6 linked regions of the Canis lupus familiaris genome follow. The protein of the gene in region 1 purifies or fractionates together with the protein of each later gene. This does not show direct contact. Links are inferred from orthologs where the notes say so. Each region holds a gene or a part of one and is shown in the gene's direction. Other genes may lie near its edges. The genes, in order: SERBP1, HNRNPU, PRMT1, VCP, DNM1L and RBM42.

The links.
Region 2: the proteins of SERBP1 (region 1) and HNRNPU purify together in Homo sapiens (affinity purification with mass spectrometry; 3 studies listed by BioGRID and IntAct, with this or other methods). This does not show direct contact. The link is inferred for Canis lupus familiaris from reciprocal best matches to the Homo sapiens genes SERBP1 and HNRNPU.
Region 3: the proteins of SERBP1 (region 1) and PRMT1 purify together in Homo sapiens (affinity purification with mass spectrometry; 3 studies listed by BioGRID and IntAct, with this or other methods). This does not show direct contact. The link is inferred for Canis lupus familiaris from reciprocal best matches to the Homo sapiens genes SERBP1 and PRMT1.
Region 4: the proteins of SERBP1 (region 1) and VCP purify together in Homo sapiens (affinity purification with mass spectrometry; 3 studies listed by BioGRID). This does not show direct contact. The link is inferred for Canis lupus familiaris from reciprocal best matches to the Homo sapiens genes SERBP1 and VCP.
Region 5: the proteins of SERBP1 (region 1) and DNM1L purify together in Homo sapiens (affinity purification with mass spectrometry; 3 studies listed by BioGRID and IntAct, with this or other methods). This does not show direct contact. The link is inferred for Canis lupus familiaris from reciprocal best matches to the Homo sapiens genes SERBP1 and DNM1L.
Region 6: the proteins of SERBP1 (region 1) and RBM42 purify together in Homo sapiens (affinity purification with mass spectrometry; 3 studies listed by BioGRID and IntAct, with this or other methods). This does not show direct contact. The link is inferred for Canis lupus familiaris from reciprocal best matches to the Homo sapiens genes SERBP1 and RBM42.

Annotation. Positions count from the first base shown.
Region 1 is NC_049226.1:43,516,487-43,521,417, forward strand, and holds part of SERBP1 (plasminogen activator inhibitor 1 RNA-binding protein), read left to right. Parts: intron 1-275; coding exon 276-453; intron 454-3,703; coding exon 3,704-3,877; intron 3,878-4,931. UniProt on the Homo sapiens protein: Ribosome-binding protein that promotes ribosome hibernation, a process during which ribosomes are stabilized in an inactive state and preserved from proteasomal degradation.
Region 2 is NC_049228.1:35,785,190-35,790,696, reverse strand, and holds the start of HNRNPU (heterogeneous nuclear ribonucleoprotein U), read left to right. Parts: upstream 1-2,294; 5' UTR 2,295-2,533; coding exon 2,534-3,224; intron 3,225-4,119; coding exon 4,120-4,231; intron 4,232-4,315; coding exon 4,316-4,389; intron 4,390-5,507. UniProt on the Homo sapiens protein: DNA- and RNA-binding protein involved in several cellular processes such as nuclear chromatin organization, telomere-length regulation, transcription, mRNA alternative splicing and stability, Xist-mediated transcriptional silencing and mitotic cell progression.
Region 3 is NC_049222.1:107,528,917-107,533,847, reverse strand, and holds part of PRMT1 (protein arginine N-methyltransferase 1), read left to right. Parts: intron 1-158; exon of another isoform or gene 159-256; coding exon of another isoform or gene 257-274; intron 275-505; coding exon 506-607; intron 608-1,388; coding exon 1,389-1,544; intron 1,545-1,685; coding exon 1,686-1,749; intron 1,750-3,551; coding exon 3,552-3,694; intron 3,695-4,462; coding exon 4,463-4,550; intron 4,551-4,655; coding exon 4,656-4,771; intron 4,772-4,931. UniProt on the Homo sapiens protein: Arginine methyltransferase that methylates (mono and asymmetric dimethylation) the guanidino nitrogens of arginyl residues present in proteins such as ESR1, histone H2, H3 and H4, FMR1, ILF3, HNRNPA1, HNRNPD, NFATC2IP, SUPT5H, TAF15, EWS, HABP4, SERBP1, RBM15, FOXO1, CHTOP, MAP3K5/ASK1, MICU1 and NPRL2.
Region 4 is NC_049232.1:51,940,371-51,945,301, reverse strand, and holds part of VCP (transitional endoplasmic reticulum ATPase), read left to right. Parts: intron 1-990; coding exon 991-1,102; intron 1,103-1,291; coding exon 1,292-1,464; intron 1,465-2,833; coding exon 2,834-2,976; intron 2,977-3,522; coding exon 3,523-3,653; intron 3,654-4,400; coding exon 4,401-4,532; intron 4,533-4,931. UniProt on the Homo sapiens protein: Necessary for the fragmentation of Golgi stacks during mitosis and for their reassembly after mitosis. Involved in the formation of the transitional endoplasmic reticulum (tER).
Region 5 is NC_049248.1:30,398,306-30,403,236, forward strand, and holds part of DNM1L (dynamin-1-like protein), read left to right. Parts: intron 1-543; coding exon 544-750; intron 751-3,604; coding exon 3,605-3,725; intron 3,726-3,943; coding exon 3,944-4,099; intron 4,100-4,345; coding exon 4,346-4,435; intron 4,436-4,931. UniProt on the Homo sapiens protein: Functions in mitochondrial and peroxisomal division.
Region 6 is NC_049222.1:117,828,600-117,834,000, reverse strand, and holds the start of RBM42 (RNA-binding protein 42), read left to right. Parts: upstream 1-2,104; 5' UTR 2,105-2,220; coding exon 2,221-2,342; intron 2,343-2,565; coding exon 2,566-2,710; intron 2,711-4,188; coding exon 4,189-4,273; intron 4,274-4,381; coding exon 4,382-4,456; intron 4,457-5,401. UniProt on the Homo sapiens protein: Binds (via the RRM domain) to the 3'-untranslated region (UTR) of CDKN1A mRNA.

The DNA of each region.
Region 1 (4,931 bases):
TAAAGACAAAGATTGTTTATTACTGATAGTTGATCATTTCATAGTTTATGAAGTTGAATTGTATATTCCTCAGTAATCCATGCTTTCACAATTCAACAAGCACTGAATTTCTAGCCTCCACCAAGTTATGTGTTAACCATTGGGTGACAAGACTGGTATCCTCTTGTTCTTGGATAATCTTTTAAAGATTATCAAGCCAAGATTAACTTCTTCCTTTTGATCATAAGTTAAGATTTTATCAGCCCATTACCGCTATAAAACATGTTTTTTCGCAGGGAGAACGAAGTTGAAGAAGTAAAGGAAGAGGGTCCAAAAGAAATGACTTTGGATGAGTGGAAAGCTATTCAAAATAAGGATCGGGCAAAAGTAGAATTTAATATCCGAAAACCAAATGAAGGTGCTGATGGGCAGTGGAAGAAGGGATTTGTTCTTCATAAATCAAAGAGTGAAGAGGTAAAAAATTAAATTTTGTGATGTCTGAAAATGTGCAGATGTTTATTGAATGGTATTTATACTTTTTCAAAACATAGCTAATCTGTTTATAAAGAATAAAAACTTTACATAGGATCATTTGGGGTAGATAAGATGCTCAAAAAGGAAATAAACTGCATTACCATATATTTCAAGAAAGGTAGTCCTTCAGTCAATAATGTATTTAATGTGGTGGTTTTGTTGTTTTTTTCTAGAAAGCAATCAGGTGTTTATCATACAGTTACTAGTGTTTTAGAAATAAGGTAGGTCTTTTCAAAGTTGTGATAATATTTTTAAAAATCTTGCCTAACTGAATTGTTGAAAGGTTTGCATTTTCTTATGGTTTAACCTAAGACCGTAGCTTCATCAGTATTCAGTTTTCAGTTTTTCAAACTCTCTGCCTGTCATTTATAATGATCAAGACTCTTTAATAAATGATGCTGTACTTATTGAGGACTGATGTCTTAATAAGAACCAGCAAAGTAATTTACTAATGAAAATACTTGAGAAAGGTATGTTCGTGGTTTTTGATTGGGTAACAATCCCTGGAGCACGTTATTAGAGGAAAGTCCCACTGCTACATCATTTAAGGCTTATGCAAGTAGGAGATGCTAATCATAAAGTTAAATTGAAATGTTACTAAGGCAGTGTAATTAAAAGATTCAATGAGATATTGCGTCTTCATTTTCTAAACAAATAGCTGTGAAACAAACTTGGAACATTGTAAAATAAAGGTTGAGACACTTATGGTTTAGAAATTATTTTTTAACAACATTGACTCCATAAAATAATATAAACAGGGATATGTTGTAAAGTGCGAAGTCGTGTCGGAAAAGACGTTTTGCTTCATTTGAATGCTTTTGCTTATTTAAAAAAATTTTTTTTATAATTCTTGCAGATAGAGTTGTGTATCTGGGTTAAAGTATTCTTGATTAAAGAAACAATGAAAATTCATCTTGGGGAGATTGTTAATTTGTAGAAATGATTAAACTGCTTAGGTTAATATGGAAAAGATTTACTTAAGGTACCTTTGGCATAATTTGTAACTTTTTTGAGGTCTTCTCCAAAACAAGACACATACACAAAATACTGATACATTTTTCTTGATTCATTAATTACTCTGAAGTCTCTTCATGCATTTTGTAGACATCAGGTTAGGTATCATATTTTTACATTGAGCTTCTCAGAAATAACCGTTATATATAATTAGAAAGTTTTAAAATTAAAATGTGAAATTGATTATGAATAACTGAATTAGGGTATTAATTGACAGAGCTGAAGCCAAAGCTCTTATTTCCTGATTATCATTCACTGCTCTAGAAAAAAAACTTTGCAGATTTATCCTACTAGCTGTCTTAAAGGGATGTTCACCAACATTTAAACTTCCTCTATATTATTGTAATAAAACCTTTGAGGTGTTTCAGTAGTATATCAATTAGGCTTTTTTGCTTCTGTTTCCTAGAAACTTAAATGCTTCTAATTAATGAATTGATAATACTGTTTTGCAATAGCAAACAATTAGTATGTATAATTGACTTTGCAGGTTTTCTGGATTTACATTTAAACATTAATTTAAATTGACTTTATATGTGTGTGTGTGTGTGTGTGTGTGTGTGTGTATATATATATATATATAAAGAGCTTATTTATTCATGAGACACAGGGCGAGGCAGAGACACAGGCAAAGGGAGAAGCAGGCCCCATGCAGGAAGCCCGATGTGGGACTCAATCCCGGGTCTCCAGGATCAGGCCCTGAGCTGAATGCGGTGCTAAACTGCTGAGCCACCCAGGCTGCCCTAAAGTTGATATTTTAAGAAGAACCGTCTACTGCCTTTAGATTGGCTTAGCACTAAGGAATGACAATTAATTTGGATATTAGACAAAGGGGCGAAGACGCAGATATAAAATTCATTGGTACTTAGAGTGAGTGGTAAGTTATTAACAGTTGTGGTGTTACAGGATTTAAAAAGAACAAAATGTTCATTATTCCTTCAGAAAAGGATTGTACCTGCATTTAGAAAAACTAAAACACACTCCAAAGTACTATAAGAAAGGTTTGGAACTAGAAGGTGAAAATTTATTCATTCCAAACATACAGGAAAAAATTAGGAATTAAGCAGTGTAAAATTGTCCGGCTTTTGTTTTGTTTTTTTTACAGAGTGGGTGGTATACCTTATATATAAATACAAAGGAGGACCTGGATTTCACAAATATGTTGACATTAAGGTTACCTGGCTGTATTTAAGGCTTGGATTTATTTGTGCTTATAGCTTTTCAAGGTTCCCTGATTTCACTTTTGAGTCTGTAATTCTGCAATTTTCCCAAGTCAGACTTAGAAGAGTGCAGACCCAGAATTTTCTTTAAAACTCACAAAGTGATTTAGTATTAATCCCTGATACAGACCTCCCGTGCAATCTATCCAAAAGTCTTCATCAGGGGTTCACATTGGAATCTAATCTGAAGGACATATTTAAAATGTACTTACCCAAACTTCACTAAAGATTATGATTTGGTAGGTTTCAAATGGGCCCTAGAGACTTGAGTGGTTGTGATTACATACCTCTGATCAAGACTTGCCAATATCACATGTAGTTTATAAAGTTAAAAGTGAAAGGAACTCTTCCTTTAAGATCACAGCTGATCTCCAAGTTTACATATTACCTTAGTGGTATTGATATTTTTAAATTATCATTTGTTGTATTTGTTCACGAAGTACAGATTGGATTTTTGGTTTTTTTTTTTTTAATGTTTTTTTTTTTTTAATTTTTATTTATTTATGATAGTCACACAGAGAGAGAGAGGCAGAGACACAGGCAGAAGGAGAGGCAGAGACACAGGCAGAGGGAGAAGCAGGCTCCATGCACCGGGAGCCTAACGTGGGATTCGATCCCGGGTCTCCAGGATCACGCTCTGGGCCAAAGGCAGGCGCTAAACCGCTGCGCCACCCAGGGATCCCTCTTTTTTTTTTTTTTTAAGCTTTTATTTATCCATGAGAGACCCAGAGAGAGGCAGAGACACAGGCAGAGGGAGAAGCAAGCTCTTTGCAGGGAGCCTGATGTGGGACTCGATCCCAGGACCCCAGGATCACTCCCTGGGCCAAAGGCAGACACTAAACCGCTGAGCCACCCAGGAAATCCCGATTCTTGGTCTTTTTAAGAGAAAGCTCAATAATTAGAAATTTGCAGTGTTGCTTTCCTGTTAATCACCCCATGACCTACTCTTAAATTTTTAGGCTCATGCTGAAGATTCGGTTATGGACCATCATTTCCGGAAGCCAGCAAATGATATAACGTCTCAGCTGGAGATCAATTTTGGAGACCTTGGCCGCCCAGGACGTGGTGGCAGGGGAGGACGAGGTGGCCGTGGGCGTGGTGGACGTCCAAACCGTGGCAGCAGAACTGACAAGGTAATTTTAAGAATTCTTTTTAAAGTAATTTGAGGACCTCTTTTGGTAAATCAGTGCCCTGGGTCCTTTTGGGGCTAGGATTAGAAGGAAGAAGTAGTTAGATATACCTTCAAGAAATTACATTTTAGGCTGTATTTTTGCTTAAAAGCACTTAAATTGACTGAAGAGTGCTTGCTAGTAAAGTTAAATTTTCACTTTTTTGAGTATTTGGTGCTGGTCATGGTGGTGTGCTAGGTATTTTATGTACTATGGCATTTCATTCTTGTTACTATATTGATATCCCCATTTTACAGAAGAGGAAATTTAGGTACAGGGAACCAAGTTAACTTGAGCTTTAGCTAAAGTCTACTTGAAATGCCAACTATCTCCTTTGCCTTGACTCTTGGCTACATTTTTGAGTATCAGTGTAGCATTTGTGTGCATAATTGTGTGACACTAACCGGATGATTATTGACACTTTTTCAATAATCTAGAAAAAACTAGACTGCAGTGTTGAGAGCTGGGATTCATTTTTGTCCTCCCTTTATAATTTAATGCCTCATACAGTGTATATGACAGGTTCTTAAATATTTTTATAGAAGACCTAGTGATTGATAAATTTTTACTCTGATCATTTGATGCCAAAGTATATGCTGTTAATGACTGAAATTAAAGTATTAGCAGTAACCTTTGCGTTAGGTTAATTCATGGTCTCTGTCTGGCTAGGAAACCAGTGACGTCCTCCTGAATTCTCAACCCATGATATGCAAATTGGGGACCTGATTGAATCTGTCAGTGTATTATAGTGGTAGCTTAATATCATAGAATGGTCACCGGTAATAATGGAGTGATTTCTTTTTCTTCATCTGAACATTAGGCTTTTTAAAGGGTCTGTGTTGTGTGTATGGATCTTTTAATACATTTTTGTTGTTACTTGTTCTTTGATTGTAAATAGCAGTTGGGTCCCTTCCTAACATTGATGAATGAATCATTATATATAATAGGTTTCTTATGCTGCTTTCAAATTGATGCCATTCTTATTTAGCAAGTGAGGAGAATAAAATACTAAAAAAGA
Region 2 (5,507 bases), on another chromosome or scaffold:
TAGGTATGTGCCTTTGCATCAACCTAAAAATGTGAGCTATATATTCTGAGCACCCTCACTTTGTTATCCATCTGTTTGTTACCCATACGTAATGGTTCATCACTTTTTGCTATTGAGAATTCATTTGTCTCCTCTTCCACTCTGTATGTAGTAGTCTCTAGGATTTCATAAAGGGGGAATTTCAAGATTCTTCTAGGTCCCTCAGTGATTTAGGGGAAGTGACTTACACCTTTACTGATGACTGTAGTATGAGACAATCATGACAGCATTAGAAGCATAAGAAGCAAAAACAGTAAGTCGTTATCTGTAAGTGCAAGTGGTAAAATAGTGAATTGCAGATTTCACCTGTTTGTAAAAAGGACAAACAGTAACATGAGGGGTCTGACTATTTGCAAAAACTGTTTTTCTTTCAAATGTTGTCTAAGAAGGCCCAGTGTAATGAAGGAGCCCTGGGGTGGGAAGGTGTCCTCTGCCTCTCAGGCTGTAAAATGGGAGGCCAAAAGCCATCTCTCACCTCTATTGAGCTCTAAAAGTCCATGACAAGCTCTTGGAGAAGCCATGGAACTATTCATGTCATCTACTCTTACATTTCAGGTTTATTGTTACAACTGACAACATACCAAGAACCATTGTCATAAATTGACATTTAGACATAGAAACTTTCATAGTTTACGTATTCTCAATTAAATGGAAATATTTTTCATAACACGAATATTTAAAAATGTAAAACTATCTAAGGACACTTATAGACTCAAAGAAGCATCATCATAACTACATTTAAACTTTGATTCATGAAGGGACTAATTATCCAGTTTGTGAACCTGTAAGCCCCTGTAGCTCTCTTCCCATTCTTTGCAAAGAATTTGAAACTCCAGTTTGTGAGTTGTTTATAAGCTCCAAGGACATCGTAACCAAAGGCCAAATGAGTTTTTGGCACTATTTGGAAGTTCCTATTTTGGGTGCCTTCCCCCTCCACTGACTTTCACCGAGAATTAGCAGTACTGTACATACTCCATTAGTTAATTTCAACTGTCATTCCACAGATGTATTTCATCTTTATGACGACTGAGTGGTAAAACACATGGTTCTTGGAAGCTATGGAGAAGAAACTTGAAAAAATAAAATGCATTCAACGGTTAAATCATACTGGCCTCTGCTAGTATTGCTCCAGTTTCAAGTTAACATTCGGGGCAGCACTACTCCAGCTCCAGCACCACACAGTGGGTAGGACTGAGCTCTCTGATAGTGGGACGTTGTCTAGTCACTGTGCAGGCTTTCTTGGGGGTGTCGCATGCGCCCCTCTATCACGTATCTAAGTGCTGGCCCCCTGTGCGCAACCTCAAGAACCTAACATGCCTTTTATTTGGGAAAAGGGAAAAATCAAACTTCTAAAACACACCCAAATACACAACAGATTTCGGGAGCCGATTGTCTCTTTTTTCTTTCTTAGAAAATCCCGGCCCTTTGACTCGTCCTGAGCTCTTACTGGCTTCAGCACGACTTATGGGGGGTGTTCCTGCGGGGGGGGGGGGGGGGAGAGGCGGCGGAGGGCACGATCCGGGGGCGTGAGCTCGCGGGGGGCCGTCTGGGCGGGCGGACGTGCCCCTCCGAGGCTCGCCCCGCTCTCCCGCCCCGGGGCGGCCGGACCAGCCCTGCCATCCGGGCTGGGGAAGAGACAAAAGGGATGCTCTGTCCTCGCCCTTCCCGAGCCTAAAATCCAGGGCGCAGGGCAGGGCCTGGGAACATTCCACCAAATGCGAGACGGAAGGCACCCCCCGCGGGCAGGGCCTGCCCGTCCGTGCCGTACACATCAACACGGAAATAAGATTTCGAGGCGTTTTAAGCAGCGGGCTGGCGAGCGAGAGAAAGAGGCAGGCCCATCCAAGATGGAAGCAAGGCCGAGGGCTCGGGCGGAAGCCGCCGGGCCGGGGCCGGGGCCGGGGCCGGGGCCGCCGGGCTCTGGGTGCAGCAGCCCCGCGCCCGGGGGCCGAGAGCGAGGCGAGGGCCGCCAGCACCCAGCTCGGGAGGCCGCCCGGCTGCGGCGGATCGCTGTAACCGAAAGGCGGCCCCCCTCCTCCCCCAGCTCGGCCCCGCGGGAAGCGCACTGCGCGGCCGGCGCCGCGCTCTCGGCGGGTTGGGCGTGGGGGCGGGGAGGGCAGGGCGGGCGGGCGGGCGGGGGCGGGGGCGGGGCGCGGGGGCGGGGCCCCGCGGCGCGGGCGCGCTCCCCCCCGCAGCGGAGCTCCCGTCAGCGCAGGGGGCGGGGCGCCTATATTACGTGCGCGGCGCCGCCCCTGCGAGAGGACGTTGCGTGCTCGCTCGCGCCAGGCGAGTCTCCGCGTCTCCCTCGCGAACTCGGTGAAAGGAATTGGCGCCGTTCGACACCAGGCGGGTCCGCTCTGCAGCACGAACCCACCTCTAGCCGCAGCCGCAGCCGCCGCCCGGGCCGAGGAGCAGCCGCAGCAGCCGCCACCAGTGGCCGAGGGAGCGGAGCCGAGTTTGAGCCAGCGCCTAGCGGTGAATCGGGGCCCTCACCATGAGTTCCTCGCCTGTTAATGTAAAAAAGCTGAAGGTCTCGGAGCTGAAAGAGGAGCTCAAGAAGCGGCGCCTTTCCGACAAGGGCCTCAAGGCCGAGCTCATGGAGCGCCTCCAGGCCGCGCTGGACGACGAGGAGGCCGGGGGCCGCCCCGCCATGGAGCCCGGGAACGGCAGCCTAGACCTGGGCGGGGATTCCGCCGGGCGCTCGGGAGCAGGCCTCGAGCAGGAGGCCGCGGCCGGCGGCGACGAGGAGGAGGAGGAGGAGGAAGAGGAGGAGGAAGGGATCGCCGCCCTGGATGGCGACCAGATGGAGCTAGGAGAGGAGAACGGGGCCGCGGGGGCGGCCGACGCGGGCCCGATGGAGGAGGAGGAGGCCGCCTCGGAGGACGAGAACGGCGACGATCAGGGCTTCCAGGAAGGGGAGGATGAGCTCGGCGACGAGGAGGAAGGCGCGGGCGACGAGAACGGGCACGGGGAGCAGCAGCCTCAACCGCCGGCGACGCCGCAACAGCAGCCGCCACAGCAGCGCGGGGCCGCCAAGGAGGCCGCGGGGAAGAGCAGCGGCCCCACCTCGCTGTTCGCGGTGACGGTGGCGCCGCCCGGGGCGAGGCAGGGCCAGCAGCAGGCGGGAGGTAAGAAGAAGGCGGAAGGCGGCGGAGGCGGCGGTCGCCCCGGGGCTCCGGCGGCGGGTGAGTGCTGCGTTGTACGTTGCGCGCGGCGGGAGGCCCGCGCGGGGTGGGGACCGTGCCCCAGGCCTGCCGGAGCCCCGCGGGGGGGAGGGGGCGGGGGCCGCCGCGGGGGAGGCGGGGGGGAGGGGGCGCGGGGAATCCCGCCCGGCCGCGAGGCCTCGGCGGCCTCGGGCTCGGCGTGTGCGACGGCGGCGGCGCCTCCATTATGTGGCTGGAGGGCCGGGGGGTGGGGGTGGTAGCTGCAGCTGCCGCTGGAGGGGGAGGAGCCGCGGGCGGCGGGCGGGAGCCCGGTCGGCCCGCGGTGGCGCCGCTGCGCTGCGTGCGCGCGGTGCGGGCACATGTCTCGGGGGGGGGAGGGGAGAAGAGAGGCCCGAGGGCCCGGGGCGGGCGCGCTTTGGCGGCGCTGGGCCGCGGTATTGTGCAAGGAGCGCAGGGGCTCGGCGTGACGTCACTTCCGGCGGGAGGGGCCGGGCGGGGAGAGCGGGGCGGAAGATCAGTACAATGCGGCCGCGGGGAACGCGGGCCCGGGTGGGGGAGGGGAGGAGGGGAGGGGCGGGCGCGCGGGCCGGCGCGGCCCCTCCCCCCTTCCTGAACTCTCTCCGGGATCCACGTGGGCTCGGGGCCGGGGCCGCCCTGGGCTCCGGGAGCTTTCTCGAATCTTCGAAGAGGCTGGCAAAATTAGGAATGTCTTTAGACTGCGTCACTAGCTCCTGGCCGGTTCCAAGCTGATTGTTCTTTGAATTCGCGTTGGATTCGTCGGTTGAAATCGCTTGCAGAAAAGAACGGGGGAGTTAGGAGTATTTGCGTTCCCCAAACAGGAGGGGGGATTTTTTTTTCTTTTTCCCCGGTTGCGTCGCGGCTTGGCCCCTTATGTTAGGGGTGTTGTGTGTTATAGGAGACGGCAAAACAGAGCAGAAGGGCGGAGATAAAAAGAGAGGGGTGAAAAGACCTCGAGAAGATCATGGCCGTGGATATTTTGAGTACATTGAAGAGAACAAGTATAGCAGGTAGAGGATGCCGATCTAGTTTTACCCGTCCCCGTTCTTTCTGGGGTAGGAAAAGCTGAATCAGGAGACAATTCTGTCTTTCAGAGCCAAATCTCCTCAGCCACCTGTTGAAGAAGAAGATGAGCACTTCGATGACACAGTGGTTTGTCTTGATACTTGTAAGTGAAGCTGTTTCTTCCCTTTTCTCCCCCGGTTACTAAATGTGGCGATTTTGGTGCCAAAATGTTAGAGAACTTAAACGCAGTGTGCTGAATTTAAATGCAGAATACTTAGCGTAAACCGTTTACCTTTTTTAAAGGAGGGAGACGAAAGGTTTTATTCAGATTCTGGTAGCTAAATGTCTAATACAGCATCAATTGTGTCGTATTGATAATTTTATAGGCTCCAGCAATTTGGTGTTATTTTTTATATGATTAGAAAGTTCTCATTTATAGGAATGTAAAATTAATGGCAATTTTTGGTTTAGTTAGCTAATGGAAACTTGTAAGACAACCTGTAACTTGTCCTTTTAGGCTCCTACGATAAAGTAATTTAATTTTTTTGGTAGCATTTTATTAAGTGAGCTATTTGGGCTAGTTAAATACGTATTAATGATTTTTTCCCATTAGCACACAAGTATATTCCCTATTCTAAAAGATTGTAATATTACTTTTTCAATAACTGCTCTTTTGTTCTCAATTCCAGTTCAGTAGCTGCTGCTTTAACATAAGTTGATTTCTTCCAAAGACCTGGGGCAGCAGCAGTGGGCTATCACTGGGCTACTAGCTTTCTTCAGCAGCGAATGGTATCAATGGCAGCGCTGTAAATACTGCTACTTTACCCAGTTGGGTTGCAATTGAGTATGAGGAAGTATTGCAAACCTCTAAATGGGCCTTGGCTGTCAGATATGTAATTTTGCATAAAAATACTTTGTTCAGTATTTGATCAGAATGCACAGCTCTTTCACTTTGATAAATAGAGCTTAGAAATAATGGCTTGCTAAGTAGGTGGTCAGGTGTGAACCTGCCCCATAGATCTAGGGAGTTAAAGTTTAGATTTCCGTGTTTTCCAATACAAATTATTTTTAGCAAGATTTGTGAGAATGTAAATGTTAACTCTTGAGTTCGTATTAAATACCCTTAACAGGTAGTTGAGCTAAGGGAATCTTTTAAAAGAAAAGAAAACTGCACGTGGAAAAATCTTTGATGTGAGAGTTTTATTTTAAATAGTTCCATTGCTTTTAAATATGACTAAGTTGGAATTGGCAAGATAGTGAAGCAGTGCTTCCAGAAGTGAC
Region 3 (4,931 bases), on another chromosome or scaffold:
ATTATCAGGCCCTTTCTAGCAGGCTAACCATGATTTCTCTCGCTTCAAACCAGTTTACCCTGTGCCCCCAAACCGTTAGTACAAACCACCCTCCAGGTCTGTGGCTCCCATCTGGCCTCCCCAAGTACCGTGGCTACTTCCTTAACTCCATTTCCAGCCCCCCCACCTGCCCTTCCCGTGTCTGCCCCAATTCTGCCTTCCCCTCCCCTCCCCAGCTGTGGGCTGAGCTAGAGACGGGGGCAGAAAGACTGGAGAGATGGTAGGCGTGGCTGAGGTATTGGGGTGCTCCCTTGGATGGTGCTCTGGGGGGGTCCTGGAAGAGGAAAGTGGGGTTGTAAGGTTTTGGGGCTCGTGGGGGAGGCAGGACGGCAGGTGGGGCCTTTAGGGTTGCCATGGTATGATTGGGGGGAGGATCTGTTCTCCAGGGAGAAGTAGGGACCTGGAGGTTTAAGAGGCCTTGGAGAGCCCCCAGATTTAACCTCTGCTCCCGTCCACCCTCTCCCAGGTCTCCTGTGGCCAGGCAGAAAGCAGCGAGAAGCCCAATGCTGAGGACATGACGTCCAAAGATTACTACTTTGATTCCTATGCTCACTTCGGCATTCACGAGGTGAGTGTGAACAGCTCCTAAAGCTGCTGGATCTTGAGGGGGTTAATGTTTGGGAAGGCTGGGGCTGAATTTCCCACGCATGCGCACTGCCTCCCCTGGCAGCGGGCTTGGCCGCCCCTCTGGGTGTGAGGCACACACCCCGGGGTCGCCTCTCCCAGCCGTTGCCTTGGAGACGGAGCTTAGCCTGGCGCTCCTGGGAGGCTGGGGAGGGGGGAGCACCCCTCAGCCTGCCTGAGACTGCGGAGGTCAGGGCCTGCGTGTCTCTGCCGCCCTCTAGTGACTGGCGGTGGGACTGTTCCCCCAACCGCCCCGCCTTTGGTGCGCTGGCTTCCCGACCCTTTTGCACTGAGGTCCCAGAACGTGGTCGAGATGGGACTCTGAGAATTTTTTTCTTTTCCTTTCTCTTTTTCTCTCTTTTTTTTTTTCTCTTGCTGAGACCTTTTCTTTTCCAAATTGTGGTAAAATGCACGTAACAAAATTTACCTCTTAAGTGTACAGTCTAGTGGCGCTAAGTTCTGGATAAAGCCAAGGATCACTGCGGCTTGGGAGGCAGTGGTAGAATCAGGCCAAGCTGTTAGTCCCTCCGGTCTGGTTTTACAAACAGAATAACTGAGGTACGCGGAGGAAGGAAAATGATTTGTTCCAAGAAGACGAAGCAGGAGGACTGAGCTCTAGCTTTCCAAAGTGCCAGTGTGTCAGAGGCCAGGGCACCCCATTTTCTAGCTGGGGGCGCAGGCCCCTTCATGGCATGTTTGTATCTTGTGCCCGCTCTCCCTGCCAGGAGATGCTGAAAGATGAGGTGCGCACCCTCACCTACCGAAACTCCATGTTTCACAACCGGCACCTCTTCAAAGACAAGGTGGTGTTGGATGTGGGCTCGGGCACAGGGATCCTCTGTATGTTTGCTGCCAAGGCTGGAGCCCGCAAGGTCATTGGGGTGAGTGTCCTGGGCAGGCGGGTGGGCCAGGGCCAGGGGACAGAGAGGGGCCCCTTAGGGCTCAGGGATTGGACGGAGGGGAATGGGGGCTGAGGGTGGGAGTGGGGGGGGTCTCACCCTCCCTTCTTCCTGGGCCCCCAGATCGAGTGTTCCAGTATCTCTGATTATGCGGTGAAGATCGTCAAAGCCAACAAGTTAGACCATGGTGAGCCCAGGAAGAGAATGGGTTTGTGGGATGGAGTGGGTGACCGCCCCGCTTCCCCGGGGGCCCTTGGCAATGGGGTGGGGGTCGTCACTGAACACAGATTCAGCTGTTTCTCCCACCATGGGCCCTGAGCTGCTGGCAGCCTGGGTATCCCACCTTCCCAGAACCTATAACCAGTAGTGACGGGCATGCTCTGCCCTTTTAGAAATTGAGTGGTGAAGTCACAAGTTTAGTGCCTTACTCATCAAACACTAGGGCAAGAAGCAGTCTTTAGTTCGTAGAGGCATGTGGTTGACACCCGAGGGTCCATGGTGAGAGATCTTCCAGCTGCCCTTCTAAGTTCAACCCACATTGCCTTCCAGAGAAGTCTGCACCTACGAGCACATACACGTGTAAATGTTATCACGCTTACATGCATGGCTTCTACATAAATAGCATTTCACGCAAGCCTTTTGCCCTTTACTTTTTCCACCTGCTCATCATGTAGTTTCACACATTTTGAGATGTGAGAGGCTCTTAAAGACCCTTTTCAATGACCATTGTCTGCATGTACCCCAACATTTTTGATCAGGCTCGGGGGGCGGGTTTTCTAGCCACTCCTGAGATGCTCATCCTTGAGCCTGTGATGTCATTTCATGTATCAGCTAGGGGAACTGGGAGGTCAGTTTATTAAAGGAGGACTGCTTGGGTCAGAAATGTTCTTTGTGTGAATGTTGCCACGTGGCTTTTAAGTGCCCATCTGCCAGGTTCCAGAGGCAGAGAATGTGGGAAGATGGTAGGTTTTTCGGATGTGGAGGCTCCTAGCATTTAGAAAGTGAAGTGATTATTTATAAAGATTTTATGTATTTGCTTATTTGTTTAGAGAGAAAAACGTAAGCAGGGGGAGGGGCAGAGGGAGAGGGAGAGAGATCTCAAGTGAACTCCCTCTTGAGGTCAGAGCTCCCAAGTGGTGCCCAGTGCCATGACACAGATCATGATATGAGCCAAAACCAAGAGATGCTTAATGGACTGTGCCACCCAGGCGCCCTGAAGTGATTTTTTAAAGAGATTAGCATATATATATATATATATATATGAGAGATTAGTATAATGAACCCCCAGATACGCATCACTTGGCTTTAAATACATCCATTTGAAGCAAATTCTAACTGTGATGTCATCCTTCTGCAAATCCCACTGTGTGTGTGTGTGTGTGTGTGTGTAATAGAGCCTTTCAAAAACATGACTGTACTGTTAATGACAAAGTCTTATTATCATTTAATACCTAATCCACTCAAAATTTCTGCTTCTGTCTTAAAACTATCCAGAGTGATGAATGCACTTCAAAACAGAGTTAACAGGGGATCCCTGGGTGGCTCAGTGGTTTAGTGCCTGCCTTTGGCCCAGGGCATGATCCTGGAGTCCTGGGATCGAGTCCCACATCGGGCTCCCTGCATGGAGCCTGCTTCTCCCTCTGCCTGTGTCTCTGCCTCTCTGTGTCTCTCATGAATAAATAAATATAATATTTAAAAAATAAAAAAATAAAACAGTTAAGAGAGGGGCACCTGGCTGGCTCAGTCTATAGAGTGTGTGACTCTTGATCTTGGGGTCATGAGTTTGAGCCCACGTTGGGTGTAGAGTTACTTTCAAAAAAGTAAAAAAAAAATCTGAGTTCAGAGTATGGCTTCAGCTGACAGAGTTCTTTGAAGAAGCCCACATGTAGCCCCTAGCCTTTCCTTGAGAAGATGGGCTACCCCCCAGGGAAGGCAGGCGGACGTGTCTCCTTAGAGCTGGTTGCATGTCCCTCTCTGTGCCCCCTACAGTGGTGACCATCATCAAGGGCAAGGTGGAGGAAGTAGAGCTTCCGGTGGAGAAGGTGGACATCATTATCAGCGAGTGGATGGGCTACTGCCTTTTCTACGAGTCAATGCTCAACACCGTGCTCTATGCCCGAGACAAGTGGCTGGTGAGGCCCCTAGTGGGGCGGGAGTGGTTCCTACAGGCAGGGCTCCTCCTCCGACTGTGTGCAGGACACCTGCCAGTTGGGATCTGGGCAGAAAACCAAAAGCTGTGCTAGGTATTTCCCACACAGGGGACTTGATACAGGGGATTGACCGCTCAGATGTTGGAGGGTCCAAAGCCAAAATGGGATGTAACAGGCAGCAGTGTCCAGGAGACAGAGTCATGAGGTAGTTGGTGCTAGGAAGAAGATTGTAGCAGGGCAAAAGATGGGGAGAGGCTAGAGGGCCATGGTTCCAGGTGCTCAGATCCAAGCAGGCCTCCTGGTGGGGGGAGGTCACAGACCTGAACAAGGGGAAAGAGCTACATAAGATCTGGGGCAAAGAGGAACTGGTGCAAATGTCCTGGGGCAGGAGTGTTTTTACTGTGTGTTGAGGAATAGCAGGGAAAACAGAAGGGAAGGAGTGGATGGGCCTGAGTGCCTCCCTGTCCTCTCCACCATGAGACTAGTTTTCCTCTCAGGAGCCAGGGAGGGTTCTGCAGAGCCTTTAGAACCTATGAAGGACAGCCCTGACTTTGGTGCTGCTGGATGCTGCCTGGCAGCCATGTGGAGAATAGATGTGGGCATGAGGGCAGAAGCCAGGAACCAGCTAGGAGGCCATTGTAGGAAGCCCGGTGGCTCAGACCAGGGTGGGGATAGAGACCCAAGTTGTTGTGGTCTGGGGGCACGGTTCCAAGGCCCCCCCCTTCACACCCTCACCTGACCCCTTGGCAGGCACCTGATGGCCTCATCTTCCCGGACCGAGCCACGCTGTATGTGACAGCCATCGAAGACCGGCAGTACAAAGACTACAAGATTCACTGTGAGCTGGGGGGGAGGGGGGCATAGCAGCTTGAGGTGGGGGGGAGGCAGGTTTGGCCTGGGCACCCCTAATGGGCTCACCCCTCCTCCCTGCCTGACACCCCAGGGTGGGAGAACGTGTACGGCTTTGACATGTCCTGCATCAAAGACGTGGCCATCAAGGAGCCCCTGGTGGACGTGGTAGACCCCAAGCAGCTGGTCACCAACGCCTGCCTCATAAAGGTGAGGGGGGCGGTGATTGTGGCCTGGGGTCCCCAGGGTTGGAACCAAAGAAGGCCCACCACCTGACCCCAGCAAGACATCAGGTCCCTCAGTTCCTACCTGAGATCTGGGAGTCCAGCCTGTGACTAGAGGTGGCGCTAGAGGCCTGGGGAAGCTGCTT
Region 4 (4,931 bases), on another chromosome or scaffold:
TAGTTTTCCCCAAATGTCATAGTCTTTGTGCTTGGCATTTCTGTGGTATATAGAATGCTCTGGAATTTAGCAGGTTTAGCCAGTAAGGATGGTAGTGCTAATGATTCTACTTCATTGTCCCCAGGCTTGGTGGGACTTGGGGCCTCCCTGAGTCCTACAGGAAGTTGTCTTGCTCACTTCATTCTCCAAGAAGGTTAGCAAAGAAGAGTTTATGCTTTCTTCTGCAGTGGTAATCATTGTGACCATTAATACCATGTGCCAGGCATTGTTGCATTCATTATCTCACTTAAGATAATTCTTTAAGATAGGTACTACTGTATTTGCTTCTTTTCAGATGAGGACATCATCATCCAGAGAAGTTAAGTAACTTGCTCAAGATGACAATTAAACAGTGGCAGGGTTGGGATTCAGACCCAGCAGGTCTGACTGCATAGCCCCTTCTCCTAATCACTGTTTCTTTCATACTAAGATTATTGTCATTTCTCTAATTGTTACTTAGCCTCTACTTTAAAAAAAAAAATTTATTCATGAGGGGCACAGAGAGAGGCAGAGACACAGGCAGAGGGAGAAGCAGGCTCCCTGTGGGGAGCCTGATGCAGGACTCGATCCCAGAACCCCGATCCCAGGACCCCAGGACCATGACTTGAGCTGAAGGCAGATGCTCAACCCCTGAGCCACCTGGGTGTCCTACTCAGCCTCTACCTCTATTTAGTCTTCTCAGGCCATAGTTTCCTGACTCTGGGGCAAGATCACTTGGGGCCTTAACAGCTAGGATACCAGTGCTCAGAATACTAAGAGATGCTGGAATGGGAATTGTATGTGCTAAATGTTACTCTTCGTGACCGTGGCTGAATATCCTTTATCTGACCTCTCTGGCATAGGGACAGCTTCATATATCCACTATTTCTTTCGTAAGTGTGAATTTTAAAGACTGGTGGGGTCCCTGGGACTGGAGTATGTATTGGGACTAAATTCATTTTCTCTTTTTAGTTCAAAAGGTGATGACTTATCAACAGCCATTCTTAAACAGAAGAATCGTCCCAATCGGTTAATTGTCGATGAAGCCATCAATGAGGACAACAGTGTGGTGTCCTTGTCCCAGGTAAGTTGGGTCAAAGGTTCAGTCTTTCCTTATTGCACTTAACCTGAGGACTTTTCCCAGGTTTCTTTCCTCATTTTTTTTTTTTGCAGTGACCACAGATAGAGTGGGGTTTACTGGGAATTCCAGCCTCCAGGGCTGCTGCCTACCCCTTGGCCCAGTGACCCAAAGGCCTTAACCTTCTTTTCTCAGCCCAAGATGGATGAACTGCAGTTGTTCCGAGGTGACACAGTATTGCTGAAAGGAAAGAAGAGGCGGGAAGCTGTGTGCATTGTGCTTTCTGATGACACATGTTCCGATGAGAAGATTCGAATGAATAGAGTTGTTCGGAATAACCTTCGCGTACATCTAGGGGATGTAATCAGGTGTGTGTGGGGTTCTTAGCCCCTCAGGGATGGGAGGCCAGAGACAGCCTGAATTATAGACAGGACTAATGAAGTTCTTGGCAGCTACCCATAGCAGAATCCTTCTAGCCATGGGAAGACTTAATATAGCAGGGCTATCTTTAGGTTTTGATTCTGCCTCCCTGAGACTTCAGAATTTACTTCTGCATGACCCTTGGGACAAGTTGCATTTCTGTGACTTCTGTGATACCTTTACTTATTTTTTTTGCCAGAGGTATGATTTATAACATGCTGAACGCTGGTTTAGGATACCATTTGAGAGTGTCTATGAAACAATCTCACTGTTATGTTGAAATAATGGCTTGTGTTGGGACCAGAATGAGGTAGGAGTGTGGGCATAGAAGGCGAATTTCCGATTAGGGTTTTTTTATGGATCAAAGTTAATATAGAATAGAAGCATAGTTTGAGTCAGACCCTGAATAGCTTCAGCTTCTATCTGAGTGATTTTTTTTTTTTTAAAGATTTTATTCATGAGAGAGAGAGAGAGGCACAGACACAGGCAAAGGGAGAAACATGCTCCATGCAGGGAGCTCGATGTGGGGCTCAATTCTGGGACTCTAGGATCCTGCCCCAGGCAGAAGGCAGGAGCTTAATCACTGGGACACCTAGGGATCCCCAATCTGAGAGATTTTAAACTTAACTTTAGGCAAGAAGCTTTCCCATCTTGGAGTCATCACTAGCCACAGCTATCCAACCCCCTGTCAGGAACATCTGAGACTGGCCAGGAACATCTCAGACTTCTGATTATTTTTAATGGATTCTAGATTTCATGTAGCCTTCTGGAGGTGCTTAATCACGTCAAGTTTCTCTGACCACCTGGCTGAGATGACTTTTTTTTTTTTTTTTTTTTTCAGTTTTATTTTTTTGATCCTGATACTTGTCCCACTACGGCCTCCGTAATTTTGGGTTACTAATATTAGCCAAATGGGTCATCTTTGGATATCTCTCACTGAAGATCCTTGCTCCTATTTCTTCATTTTGGGGGCTTTACATGTGTGGGTCTTCCTTTTGGCTCACTGATTGGGAGTGAGCAGCCCCATTTTAGTTCAACTTTAAATTTACCTAAAAAAAATAAAATTTTAATGTAAATTTGTAGCTTCTTCTAATGGCTCCTACTACTGCCCTTCCCCCAAGTATGACTTGGTCTTAGTTCTGTTTGGCTGCTCTTTTGTCCTCACTCTCACTCTGCCCTCCTTCCTCTCTTCACCTAAAGCCATCCCTACCTTTTTTCTTTTACTTGCCGTCAGCTCTCTGTGCCAGGCACTTTCAGACGCCCAGTGTTTGGGGCTACATTGTGGTTGGTAATGTGGAGTCTGCTTGTCATCCTCAGCATCCAGCCGTGTCCTGATGTGAAGTACGGCAAACGTATCCACGTGCTACCCATCGATGACACGGTGGAAGGCATCACTGGCAATCTCTTCGAGGTATACCTTAAGCCATACTTCCTGGAAGCTTATCGACCCATCCGGAAAGGTGAGAGATAATTCTAAAGACTGAGCTTAAGGATAGTTGTTTGTAGGGATACCTGGGAGTAAATCTTGGAATGTCTTTATCTCATTCTCATATGTGTGCTTACACACACATTCTGCATACACGCTCATGTGTACTCTCCTTCCTTCCTCCTCCTTCCCACTCCTCCATTTCCCTACTATCATTCCCTGCTTCAGTAGAGTAAGCTCTCTTCTCCTTTGTCCCAGAAGGAGGACTTGGGCACTTTTTGGCTGTGTCACAGTCCAAAGTGTATTTAATATTTAGCACAGTCTGATCATCTGTGGTTGTTGTGAAAGCTTGGTTACCTATAGCCCATAAGATTTTGTTCAGTGTCCTCTTGAATGGCAGAGGGACACTTCACAGTTTAGCTTTCTCCTCTTGCCTGATGCTTAATAAGGTAGAGGTGGGAAGGGGAAAGGGGCAGTATCTAGTGAACTTGGCATTTTAGACAACAGGTTCTGGTGAGGAACTCTCACTTGCTCTGGTATTTGACATCTCTGACTGCACTTGTGCTAATTACTCTCACAGGAGACATTTTCCTTGTCCGGGGTGGAATGCGTGCTGTAGAGTTCAAAGTAGTGGAGACAGATCCCAGTCCTTACTGCATTGTTGCCCCAGACACAGTGATCCACTGTGAAGGGGAGCCTATCAAACGAGAGGTGAGTTCTCTCCTTTATCCCAGTACCCAATTTCATGATTACAAAGTGGGGCGGTCATATGGTAACTACTAACTGTGAGTGCTCTTTGGGGGCACCTGGGTGGCTCAGTTGGTTAAGCATCTGACTCTTGATTTCAACTCCGGTCATAATCTCAGGGTTGTGAGGTTGAGCCCTGTTTTGGGCTCCATACTAGGTCTGGAGCCTGCTTAAGATTCTCTCCCTTTCGCTCTGTAGCCTGCTCCCTCCGCCCCTGCTCCCACCCATCTCTGTCTTCCTCTATTAAAAATAAAACTGAGTGCTCTTTGGAACTAAGCTTTTTTCCAGAGGTTGTGAAAATGTTTCAACTATTCATTTCTGGGCCTGTGTGTTTCTAGAAGTATATGATACCAGTAATTTTTAAAATCCAGATTGAACTCAAAAGATCTAAGTGGTTGGAATAATTTTTGTAGAAGTGACATTGATGATGGCATCCAGACCTCTGTCTGTTTCCCAGTTTCTAGCTTTAGTCTTAGGGTGGTTCTTTCCAGTAATACTAAGGGCAGTGTAAAAGGGAAAGACTATGCTGAAAATCTTTGCTTTGGGATTTTTAGAATTGTTCTTTGAGTCAGGATCCCCCTTAGAGGAGAATCCTCTCGTAAAATAGGTTTCTCTATACCAGATTGTAGAAGGATTTGGCGAAACTCAACTTTTGCTAATAATAATAATATTCCTGCCTTTTTTTTTTTTCTTTGTCTTCTCTGTATTCAGGATGAGGAAGAGTCCTTGAATGAAGTAGGCTATGATGATATTGGTGGCTGCAGGAAACAGCTGGCTCAGATAAAGGAGATGGTGGAGCTACCTCTCAGACATCCTGCTCTCTTTAAGGCGATTGGTGTTAAGGTGAGTATCCTGGGACATAATGTAGGCTGGTAATTAACAAAGACTCGGGTCAATTCTTGTTGCATTATTTTTTATATTATGGTTATTTAAAAATGTAAAAACCATTTTTATCTCACGGACCCTATAAAAACAAATCTCATCATAGTTGCCTACCTGTATGTAACAATGTCACCCAAGAAAAGTTTAAGGAAATTTGCAGTGTGTGAAGGGTCCTGAATCCAAAACATGTGAGAACTGCAGACCTACAATGTGACTTCCTAACTGTTCCATATCATGGGCACAGTGAAGATGAAATTACCCTCTTCTCTAGTATGTACCATACAAATAATTTTATCTTCTATATGGGCATTTCCCATGTGCAGCCTGTGGATAGGCCATAAAAAAGACAGCTTCAAAGAG
Region 5 (4,931 bases), on another chromosome or scaffold:
AAAGCTTTCTAGATGATTTGTAAATGACTGAAATGAAAGTTGTTTTCTCTTACTTTTGTCGTATTCCTTAAATAAAGGCTCATGGACTTGGATCTTAATAAGTTGGGGTTGAAGGCAAATTTAAAAAGTGTTGACTAAGTTCTTTGTTCGTGTTCAACCCATCAAATTGTAGCGATTGCTAGAGAGCCAGATATAAATTGAAAAAATTATTTTTATATTAATTACAATTACCTCATAGAAAGTAAGCTACTCAGTATAATTCTATCTACATAATTTTGATTTCTGACTTCTGTTTTACTGTGGATACTCAGCACAGTGAAAATGATTACTTAGTCTGAAAAATGTAAAAAGTGTGGGCTCAAGTATCATCGTGTCTTTTTTTCACACTAAGCATTTACTTCCAGCCTAATATTGCTTTATTTCCTGCCAGGACAAATTATTTGACAGCTTTTACCATTATTGGCACATTAAAAATTTGACCTGTTTGGGTCTTCAGAATACACAGCTTTACTGTAAGAATCCTTTCTTTCTGACCTTTGTTAGGTTACTGATGCATCACATCAGAGATTGCTTACCAGAGCTGAAAACCAGGATAAATGTTCTAGCTGCCCAGTATCAGTCTCTCCTCAATAGCTATGGTGAGCCGGTCGACGATAAAAGTGCTACTCTGCTCCAGCTTATCACCAAATTCGCCACAGAATATTGTAACACTATTGAAGGAACTGCAAAATATATTGAAACTTCAGAGCTGTAAGTAAAACATTTCTCTATGGGTTTGCTTATCTGAAATGCTGGGTTACTTTTGCTTTTGTAACAGTGACTTTAACTCTGAGATTTTCTGATCATGATTTGTTATTTGCAGAATAGTGTTTTGCAGAAATAATAGGATGCTGTCTGACATATGTGTTAAAATGCTTTGTAAACTAGGTAAAGCACAGTAAATTTGTTTTTTTTTTTAGACAAGACTTTGATAAGCATTTAAATATAATTGATAATTTAACTTTTTTTTTTTTTTTTGATAATTTAACTTTTTAAATATTTGTCTCTTTAATAGACACACTGATTTTTCATGGGGAAAAAAAAAGAAAATGCAGACAAAAAGAACAGAAGGACAAAATGACTTAATTCCACTATCCAGAAATAATCCCTGCTAATTTTGGCACGAACTTAGACGTTTTTCAATGCAATGATAAAATATTATAAATGCCTGTATTACACATCTTCAAAAATCAGATCAAAACACTATCATGCTGTTTTGGAATCATTCCTTTAAATCATTGTGTCACAAACAACTAATATTAATTGTACATTTCTATTACCAGTCTTAAAATTTACATAGTATTTTGCTTTTTAGATACACCCTAATGTCTTGAACCAGTACCCTACTACTGATAGTTTCATTTAAATATAAACAGTGTTTTGATCGACTATTTTGGGGGCATGAATCTGAGTAAACCCTTAGGCTAAATTCTTAGGATGGAATTACTATATCAAAGGGAGAACATCCTAAAAATCCCTTCCTGTTGCCATACTGTTAGTGGATTATATTGTTTTACTGTTAGCAATATGTAAGAATGTTCATTTATCTGAACTCTCACTTAAAAAAAAATTTTTAATTTTGAAATAATTATAGACTTTCAGGAAGTTGCGAATAAATATGCCTTCCTAGGTCCTGTTAATCTTTCACCCCATCTTCCCTAGTGTTGACATCTTGCATAACTGTAGTACAGAAACAAAATGAGAAAATGGACCAAGGGTACAGCCCACAGAGCTTATTCAGATTTTACCACTTGTGAAATTATACACACATTGGTATGTGTATTCTGTGTACTTTTGTGTGACACAGGTGGCCTGTTATGTGAGTTAATTCTGTAAAGACAGTATTTAACTAATTACTAATTAATTGGTGAATGGTTAGTCATATTATAATATATATAATATTAATATATAATATTATATATATTATATATATAAACATATGGCATATTGAGGGGAAATACAGATTACTAAGATGAGCCTTTGAAGCACTTAGTGGGTAAGGTAGAATAAGATAACACAAGGCATGATTCAGTGGCAAACAGGTGTATAATCAAGTATTTTTATTTAAATACTTATTTAATATACTGCATATCTGGAAAAGTGCTTATATATGGGGAATTTTTTTTATATGGGGAATTTTATAAGTAGTTAATAAAGCAGATATCTGTGTAATCATTTAAGCCTTAAAACATTGAGGAGAGATCATTTACATTTCTCTGAGAGACTGGGTAAGTGCCATAGTTAAGAATGTGTTCAGGTTGGGCTCTGAATAGGATATAGGGAAGCAATAAGTAGAAGAGTGTTTTAGGCTTTGGGACAGCAAAGAATAATGCAAAAGGTGTATTTGGGGAATGGCATGTACGGTGGCAGGACATAGCAGGCAGTTAGGCAGCAAAGGCATCTGAGAACAAGATTGTGGAAAGTCAGGTATCTTCAGAATTTAGAGAACTTCCTGCCATAGAAAATAAAACACTTTCAGTCAGAGGAGTACCCATTTTAGAAGGATAATTTTAATTATTATGGAAAATTATTTGGAGAAAGGATCGGTTGGAGGCAAATGGATAATTTAACCATTTTTAAGTGTGGTTTAATAGCATTTGGTTACAGTCACAATATTGTCTAAGCATCAGATGGTGTCTATTTCTAAAATTTTCATCACCCCAACAGAAACTCTGTATTTCTTTGTTCCCTCCTCCTCCAGTCTCTGGTAACCTCTAATTTACTTTCTGTCTCTATGAATTTGCTAATTCTAGATATTTTATATGAGGGGAATCATATAATCTTTGTCTTTTGTGTCTGGCTTATTTCACTTAACATAATGTAGGTTGGTACCTTCTGCTTAGACAACGGTAAGAAAGTAGTGGATAGTAGAGATTTAATTTGTTTAAGGCAGAAGAAAACTGTAGCCCATCGGCCAAGAAGGATTTTTACATTTTTAAATGGTTGAAAAATATTCAAAGAATATTTCATGACATGTTAAGATCCAAATTTTAGTGTGCATAAGTTTTACTGGAACACAGCTACGCTTATTTGTTTGTATTTTTGTCTATAGCTGCTTTTGTGCTCAGTAGTTGAATGGAGTTGTCGTGGCAGGGACCATATGGCCTGAAAAGCCTAAACTATTTACTATCTGGCCCTTTACAGGAAAAGTTTGCCTATCTTTTCTCTAAATTGTGAATAAACAGAAATAAACAAGATATCATTTCTTGTCTTTTAAAAAGCTCATAGTCAAGGAAACTAAGGGCAGAGAAAAGATGTTTAATAGTTCTTAGTTACCTAATGTTTTTGGACAGACCATTATTCTGTATGTGTGTCTGTGTGCATGCAAACAAATACATACATGTGATGGATGCCTTTTGTGGAATGACTCTTCTTCATTAAAAGAAAAAAATTACAGAAACTGGTTCATAATGGAGTTGAGAACACATGGAAATGATCTAAAAGTAATTGCTTATCTGAGACTTTATCAGACAATAAGACCTTAAAAGCTTATAGAAAGGCTTCTGACTTGTAGCTTCTTTCCCTTTTAATAATAATAGAAACCATATACTTCATTGCCTTTCAGATGCGGTGGTGCTAGGATATGTTATATTTTCCATGAGACTTTTGGGCGAACTTTAGAATCTGTTGACCCACTAGGTGGCCTTAACACCATTGACATTTTGACTGCCATTAGAAATGCTACTGTGAGTATGCTCAACTTTTAGAAATTTTTTAAAAAGTTAAGGATTTATTATAATTTTTAACCCATTAGCTATATCTTTAAAGGAATTGTATTTTTGCCCTCATACTTAATATCAGGAAGCACTTTTCATGAAAAATACCAAAAAACATGATTTATTTTAACTTAGGGAAGAATTAAAATTTAATATAGCTATAATAAGAGCTCAAAAAATTTTTTTAGGGTCCTCGTCCTGCTTTGTTTGTGCCTGAAGTTTCATTTGAGCTATTGGTCAAGCGGCAAATCAAACGTCTGGAAGAACCCAGCCTGCGTTGTGTGGAACTGGTTCATGAGGAAATGCAAAGGATTATTCAGCACTGTAGTAATTATAGTACACAGGTAACTGAGAAATGTAACGTGTCAGATTAAGTAGTAAAAGACGGGAAGTGGTGGTTTTGTGGATTGGGAGGAAGTATGTAAGATGGGCTAAAAATAAGTTAAAAATCTGCATTTTTCTGTATCTGAAAGTGATTTGAAGTGTAATGCTATATGTTGCTTAAAATCTAATTCAGTATTTTGGTGATTATTTAATTTTCCTTTAAACAAAGTAGACCGTTAAATTTTTCTTTCTTCTATCATTTATAGGAATTGTTGCGGTTTCCTAAACTTCATGATGCCATAGTTGAAGTAGTGACTTGTCTTCTTCGTAAGCGGTTACCTGTTACAAATGAAATGGTGAGCTGCTATTTTCACAAATCATCATGGTAACCACTAAAGAAATTTTTTTGTATAGCAATAGGAGTACTTTAGAGTTTAAGCCATGTTTTCCAGTGTATTGGGAAGAAAAAGAAGTAAACTTCACTCTTATTTCAAAGGACACAAGTAATTCTGGCATGAAGTATAGTTTTCTTCATATTTTAATCACTGTTAGCCTACAGCTCTAGGTTTTCATAAGAATGGAGTTAAGTGTTGACGATTGTGATTAGCTTTGCTATACTATATAGCACCACTGATCTAATGGAAAATTAGTTTAATAATCAGGCCCGGTAAACTGAGCTTTTATATGGCAAACTATTTTAGCTCTAGTACATCAGGGTAATTTGGCCACTTGTAGTTTGCTTGTTTGATGATGCAACACTGTAATATCATGGTTGCTTGCTGCTCTTTTCTGGGTTACTGCTATCCTTAAAAATGCTGAAATTGGCAAAAATAGGGGATAAGCATTTGAAAT
Region 6 (5,401 bases), on another chromosome or scaffold:
TGCTCCAATCACTGTTACAACTGAAGTAAAGTCTGTCGGAACGCACCATGAAGCTTTGAGTGAGGCTCTTCCTGGGGACAATGTGGGCTTCAATGTCAAGAACGTATCTGTCAAAGATGTTCGTCATGGTGATGTGGCTGGTGACAGCAAAAATGACCCACCAATGGAAGCAGCTGGCTTCACGGCTCAGGTGATTATCCTGAGCCATCCAGGCCAAATTAGTGCTGGATAGGCACCTGCACTAGATTGCCACACAGCTCACATTGCAAGTTTGCTGAGCTGAAGGAGACGATAGATTGTCATTCTGGAAAAAAGCTGGAAGATGGTCCCAAGTTCTTGAACCATGGGGATGCTGCCATTGTTGACATGGTTCCTGGCAAACCTATGTGTGTTGAGAGCTTCTCTGTCCTCCTTTGGGCCGTTTTGCTATTTGTGACATGAGACAGACAGTTGCTCTGGGTGTCATCAAAGCAGTGGACAAGAAGGCAGCTGGAACTGGCAAAGTCACAAGTCTGCCCAGAAAGCTCAGAAGGCTAAATGAATATTATCCCCAATACCTGTCCACCCTAGTCTTAATTGGTGGTGGAAGAACGGTCTCAGAACTGTCAATTGGCCATTTAAGTTTAATAGTAAAAGACTAGTTAATGATAACAATGCATTGTGAAACCTTCAGAAGGAAAGGAGAATGTTTTGTTGACCATTTGGTTTTGTGTGTGCGTAGCAGTTTTTTTTGTTTTTACTTTTTTTTTTTAATTTATGATAGTCACACAGAGAGAGAGAGAGAGAGAGAGAGAGGCAGAGACACAGGCAGAGGGAGAAGCAGGCTCCATGCCCCGGGAGCCCGACGTGGGATTCGATCCCGGGTCTCCAGGATCGCGCCCTGGGCCAAAGGCAGGCGCCAAACCGCTGAGCCACCCAGGGATCCCCAAAGACAGTATTTTCACAAAGGATTCATTAGTGTTGATTTAGACTTGGAACTTCAAGAAACCAAGACAGCCAGTAAAAAGTAAGTTTTCACACACACACACACAAATTCCACCAACCTACCAAATGCTACGTGTATACCTTATTTGTAGCCTGATTTTACACAAAGACATTCTGCGGCAGGGAAAATTGAACAGTCTGGGTGTTAGATGATATATATATACATATATCATCTAATAATATATATATTATTTAATTTTCCTAGGTGTGAAATGCTTTTTTCTTTTAAATAGTCCTTATCTAAAATAAATAAATAGTCCTTATCTGTTAGCGAGACATCGTGAAGCATTTATGGGTGAACTGACCGATGTCTGGAATTTAATATACTCCAGCAAAATCATAATATCAATGAGGAGAATACGTGAAACAAAAAGTGTAGAATATGAGTAATTGCTGAGAGGTGGAGGTTCGTTATATTCTCTAGTGTTGTGTATTTTAAATATTCCTAACACAACACATTGAAGACGACGAAGAGGGACGCGCGGCGTCCCAAAGGCCACGGAGACCAGACCTACCCACGTGACCTTCTGAGCTGACATGTTACTGCGGTCTCGGCCTCTGCAGGAACTGTTCCTCCCCCCCGCCCCCCACAACTCTCTCTCCATTTCCGTCCAGCAAGTCTTCAGAGGTCACCCTCGGCAGAAAGCCCGGGTCAGGCGCCCCTCTGAGCCCCTCCCCACACCAGGACCCTCGTCTCTCGGGGAGTCCCCGGCGGTGTGCGAGCCCGTCTACCCGAGAGGGGAGGCGCTCGGCAACCAGCCGCCTCCAGCCCCGCCTAGCCCCGCCCAGCCCCGGGCTGCTGCGGACTTCCCTGTGTTAAAGCTTCCGGAAGGAGCTTCGGTGGCACAGGCGGAGCCTGCGAACTTTTCTGAGCTCTCAAAGGTCCACTTTCCTCTTTAGGGATGGGGCCAGCGACTTCACAGCGCTCTCATTAGCCCTTGTTCCTCCAATGAGGGTGTGGTCGCCTCGCTTGGCTGCACTTACTTAGATCCAGGTTCTTCATTGGTTCCTTTTTTCCGCCACTCTGATTGGTTTATATTCCTCCCGGGGCGGGCCCTCCAGGTGCGGCCCTATTCTCATTGGCCTCGCTCCGCATGATGTCATGCACCAGCGCCGTCGCTTTCGCCGAACGTCAATCGCGGGCGCCCACCCCGACAAGACCAGAGAGTAGACAGCGGAACTGGCGGAGGCAGCTGAGCTGAGGCGGCAGTAGCGGCGACAGCGACGGCTGCAGCGATGGCCGGGGCGGGGCCAGCCCCGGGACTCCCGGGTGCAGGAGGACCTGTGGTCCCGGGCGCCGGCATGCCGGGCAAGAGCGGGGAGGAACGCCTGAAGGAGATGGAGGCGGAGATGGCCCTGTAAGGCCCGCGACAGGGCGCGATAAAAACCGTCCCAGAGCCAGAGCCACCGAGCCCTGGAGCTTCCAGGCCGGAATCAGCCCGACATGGCTCTGTCGTGGGGAAATGGGACTTTCGGGATTGTGGGGGCGGGAGGAAGCGGAGGTTGGCAGGGGCGAAGGCGCCGTCGCGTTTCAGAATTAATGCGAGGTCCTGAGCTGTGGTGTCGGTCTTGCCCCCGCAGGTTTGAGCAGGAAGTTCTGGGGGCTCCGGTAACCGGCATCCCTACTGCTGTGCCTGCGGTGCCCACGGTCCCCACGGTGGAAGCGATGCAGGTCCCGGCAGCTCCTGTGATCCGCCCAATTATCGCAACCAACACTTACCAGCAGGTATGGCTGAGCTGAGGCATGGAAATCCGAGAGCACAGCGCTTGGAACACGGTGTTTGTATACAGACAGCTACTGGCATGTGGACTTACTGATTAGCGTGACAGATGTTTCATGTGCCAGGCACTGAGAACACAGTAACAACTAAGCAAACAATATCTCTGCCCTTTGGGAGCATATTATTCTAGAGCATGTCGTCCTGCGGAACTTTCTGTAATGATAAAAGTATTCTGTACATATTAAAATTTACATTTCAGTTAAATAGTTCCTCGGTCTCGTTAGTCACATTCACCTGCTCAATAGAAAGTTGTATATGACGTGGAGAGAGAAACTACTGAAAGAAAACGAAAGAAACTTGTTCCTTCTGTCAGTAAATAATTATTGGGTGCCTTCTATGCACCGGGCACATAGCAGAGAACAGTACAGAGAAAAACAATCACTATCTTTTTGTGGTTTACATTTTACTGAGGAAGGACAGACAGGTCAGTCAGGGTAGAGTAAAAAAGGCAGAGGTTTATCAGCATGGTCAGAGAAGGCCTTTCGGAGGAGGTGACAGTTACGGAAAGATATCCATGGGGATATCTAGGGAAAGAGCATTCCCAGCAGAGACAACTGCCAATGCAAGACGCATACCTGACAGGTGCATACCTGACATGTTCAAGGAACAGAGAGAACAGTGTGGCTAGAGTAGAGTGAACAAGGGGAAGAGTGAGAGACGATGAGGACAGAGAGGTGATAGAGACCAGACATGGTAGTGCCTTGTGGGCCACCATAAAGACCTTGGTCTTTGCTCTGAGATGGGATGTTGTTGAAGGATTTTGAGCAGAGGGGTGATATGGTCCAACTTAGATATTAACTAACTATAGCTTGTTTGGAGAGTAGACCATAGGGGGGCCAGAGCAGAGTCACGGAGACTGAAGAAGAGGCTACAATAATCATCTAGACCAGAGATAACGATGGCTTGGACCAGGGTGATGGCATGGGAGATGCGAAGGACAGGCTGGACATAACTCCAGATAGTGCTAAATGCATTGAAGGAGATGAAACAGGATGACAAGAGAAGTTGCTACTGGGAGGGGCTAAGGACAGCTTTCACTAGTGTGATCTCAAAAGTCTCCCTGAAAAGTGATATTTTATTTATTTATTTATTTTAAAATATTTTATTTATTCATTCATGAGAGACACAGAGAGAGAGACAGGCAGAGACACAGGCAGAGGGAGAAGCAGGCTCCATGCGGGGCACCCCATGCGGGACTCGATCTCGGGACCGTGGGATCGCACCCTGAGCCGAAGGCAGACGCTCAACCGCTGAGCCACCCAGGCATCCCGAAAAGTGATATTTTAACCTAGACTTAAAGTTGATGGATAGCCAGCCATACACAAAATGCAAGGAATGAAACCCTTGGCCTCTCAGAGTAAGCCAGCCAGGGCAGCTTGGGGGCACTAAGTCAGGCCACTCACCCTAATTTCCTCCCCAACAGGTCCAACAGACTCTGGAGGCCCGAGCAGCTGCTGCAGCCACAGTGGTTCCTCCGATGGTGGGTGGCCCTCCTTTTGTGGGTCCAGGTAAGTAAGGAGCAGTGGAGGAGAAGGAGCCAGGGGGTCAGGCAGGGTGATCAAAAGGGATGCCTGGGACTCTCCTCCCACCAGCCTTGTCTCTTCCTCTTCCAACAGTTGGCTTTGGCCCTGGTGATCGGAGTCACCTGGACAGTCCAGAGGCTCGAGAAGCTATGTTCCTGCGTCGAGCAGGTAGGTCTGGGGCCAAGAACCCCACATTTAACCAAGCACTCTTGTTTTGACTACCGCAGCATCTTGCCGACATCATTGCACTAACTCACCCTCCTCGTTTCATCTCGGCTCTGACATTGCCATCTTCCTAAAGCACAAACCTGATCATATGCTTGTCAGTTTGGCCCCAGTAGGGCTTCACTTGATCATTGCAAACCTATCCCTTTACTGTTACTCCTAATCCCTACTCTTTGCTGTTTCTCCATAGCACTTAATACCTTATAACAAGTTGTAGGATTTCTTTGTTATGGCTATTATCTTTTGTTTCCTTTAAAATACAAGCTCCATGAGGGACAAAAGTCTTGGTGCCTGCCACATTGTAAGCGTTACGTGCTGTCTGTTGATGGGATAAATAAACTATCAAATAAGCACTAAGCTCATCACCTGGCAGTCAAGACCCCACATTGCCTGGTCCCTAACAGAGAGACCCCCATAGACTTCCCAGGAACCCTAAGCATTGCTGGAATATGCCCATAATATTCTTATTGATCTCTCTTCTCTCCTCTGCTCACTGTCACCCAACTAAAATCTTTCAAAGCCTATTAACTAAAGCAGATTCAAGTTAACCAAAATCAACTAAAATCTGTCCTCTCCACAGGTCATTCTTACTTTTATCGTCAAGATGACCTTCATACACACAGTCAATTTTTGTGACACTGCTTCCTTGTATGTGTGAAAAGAATACGTGTTCTGTAAAGTTTAGGTACAATCTCTCTTAAATTAAACTTGTTAATTGTGTTACTTAAGTCCTGTTATACTTTTTTATCTATCTAAGAAATCTCAACATCTCTTATTCTTTACTATGGGTTTGATCAAAATGCACATCTGACCTAGTCACCCTGCCCAGCTTCCAACCCTGCTGTGACTCCCTAGTGCCCTCAGGAGGACATCCATAGCCAGTCAACA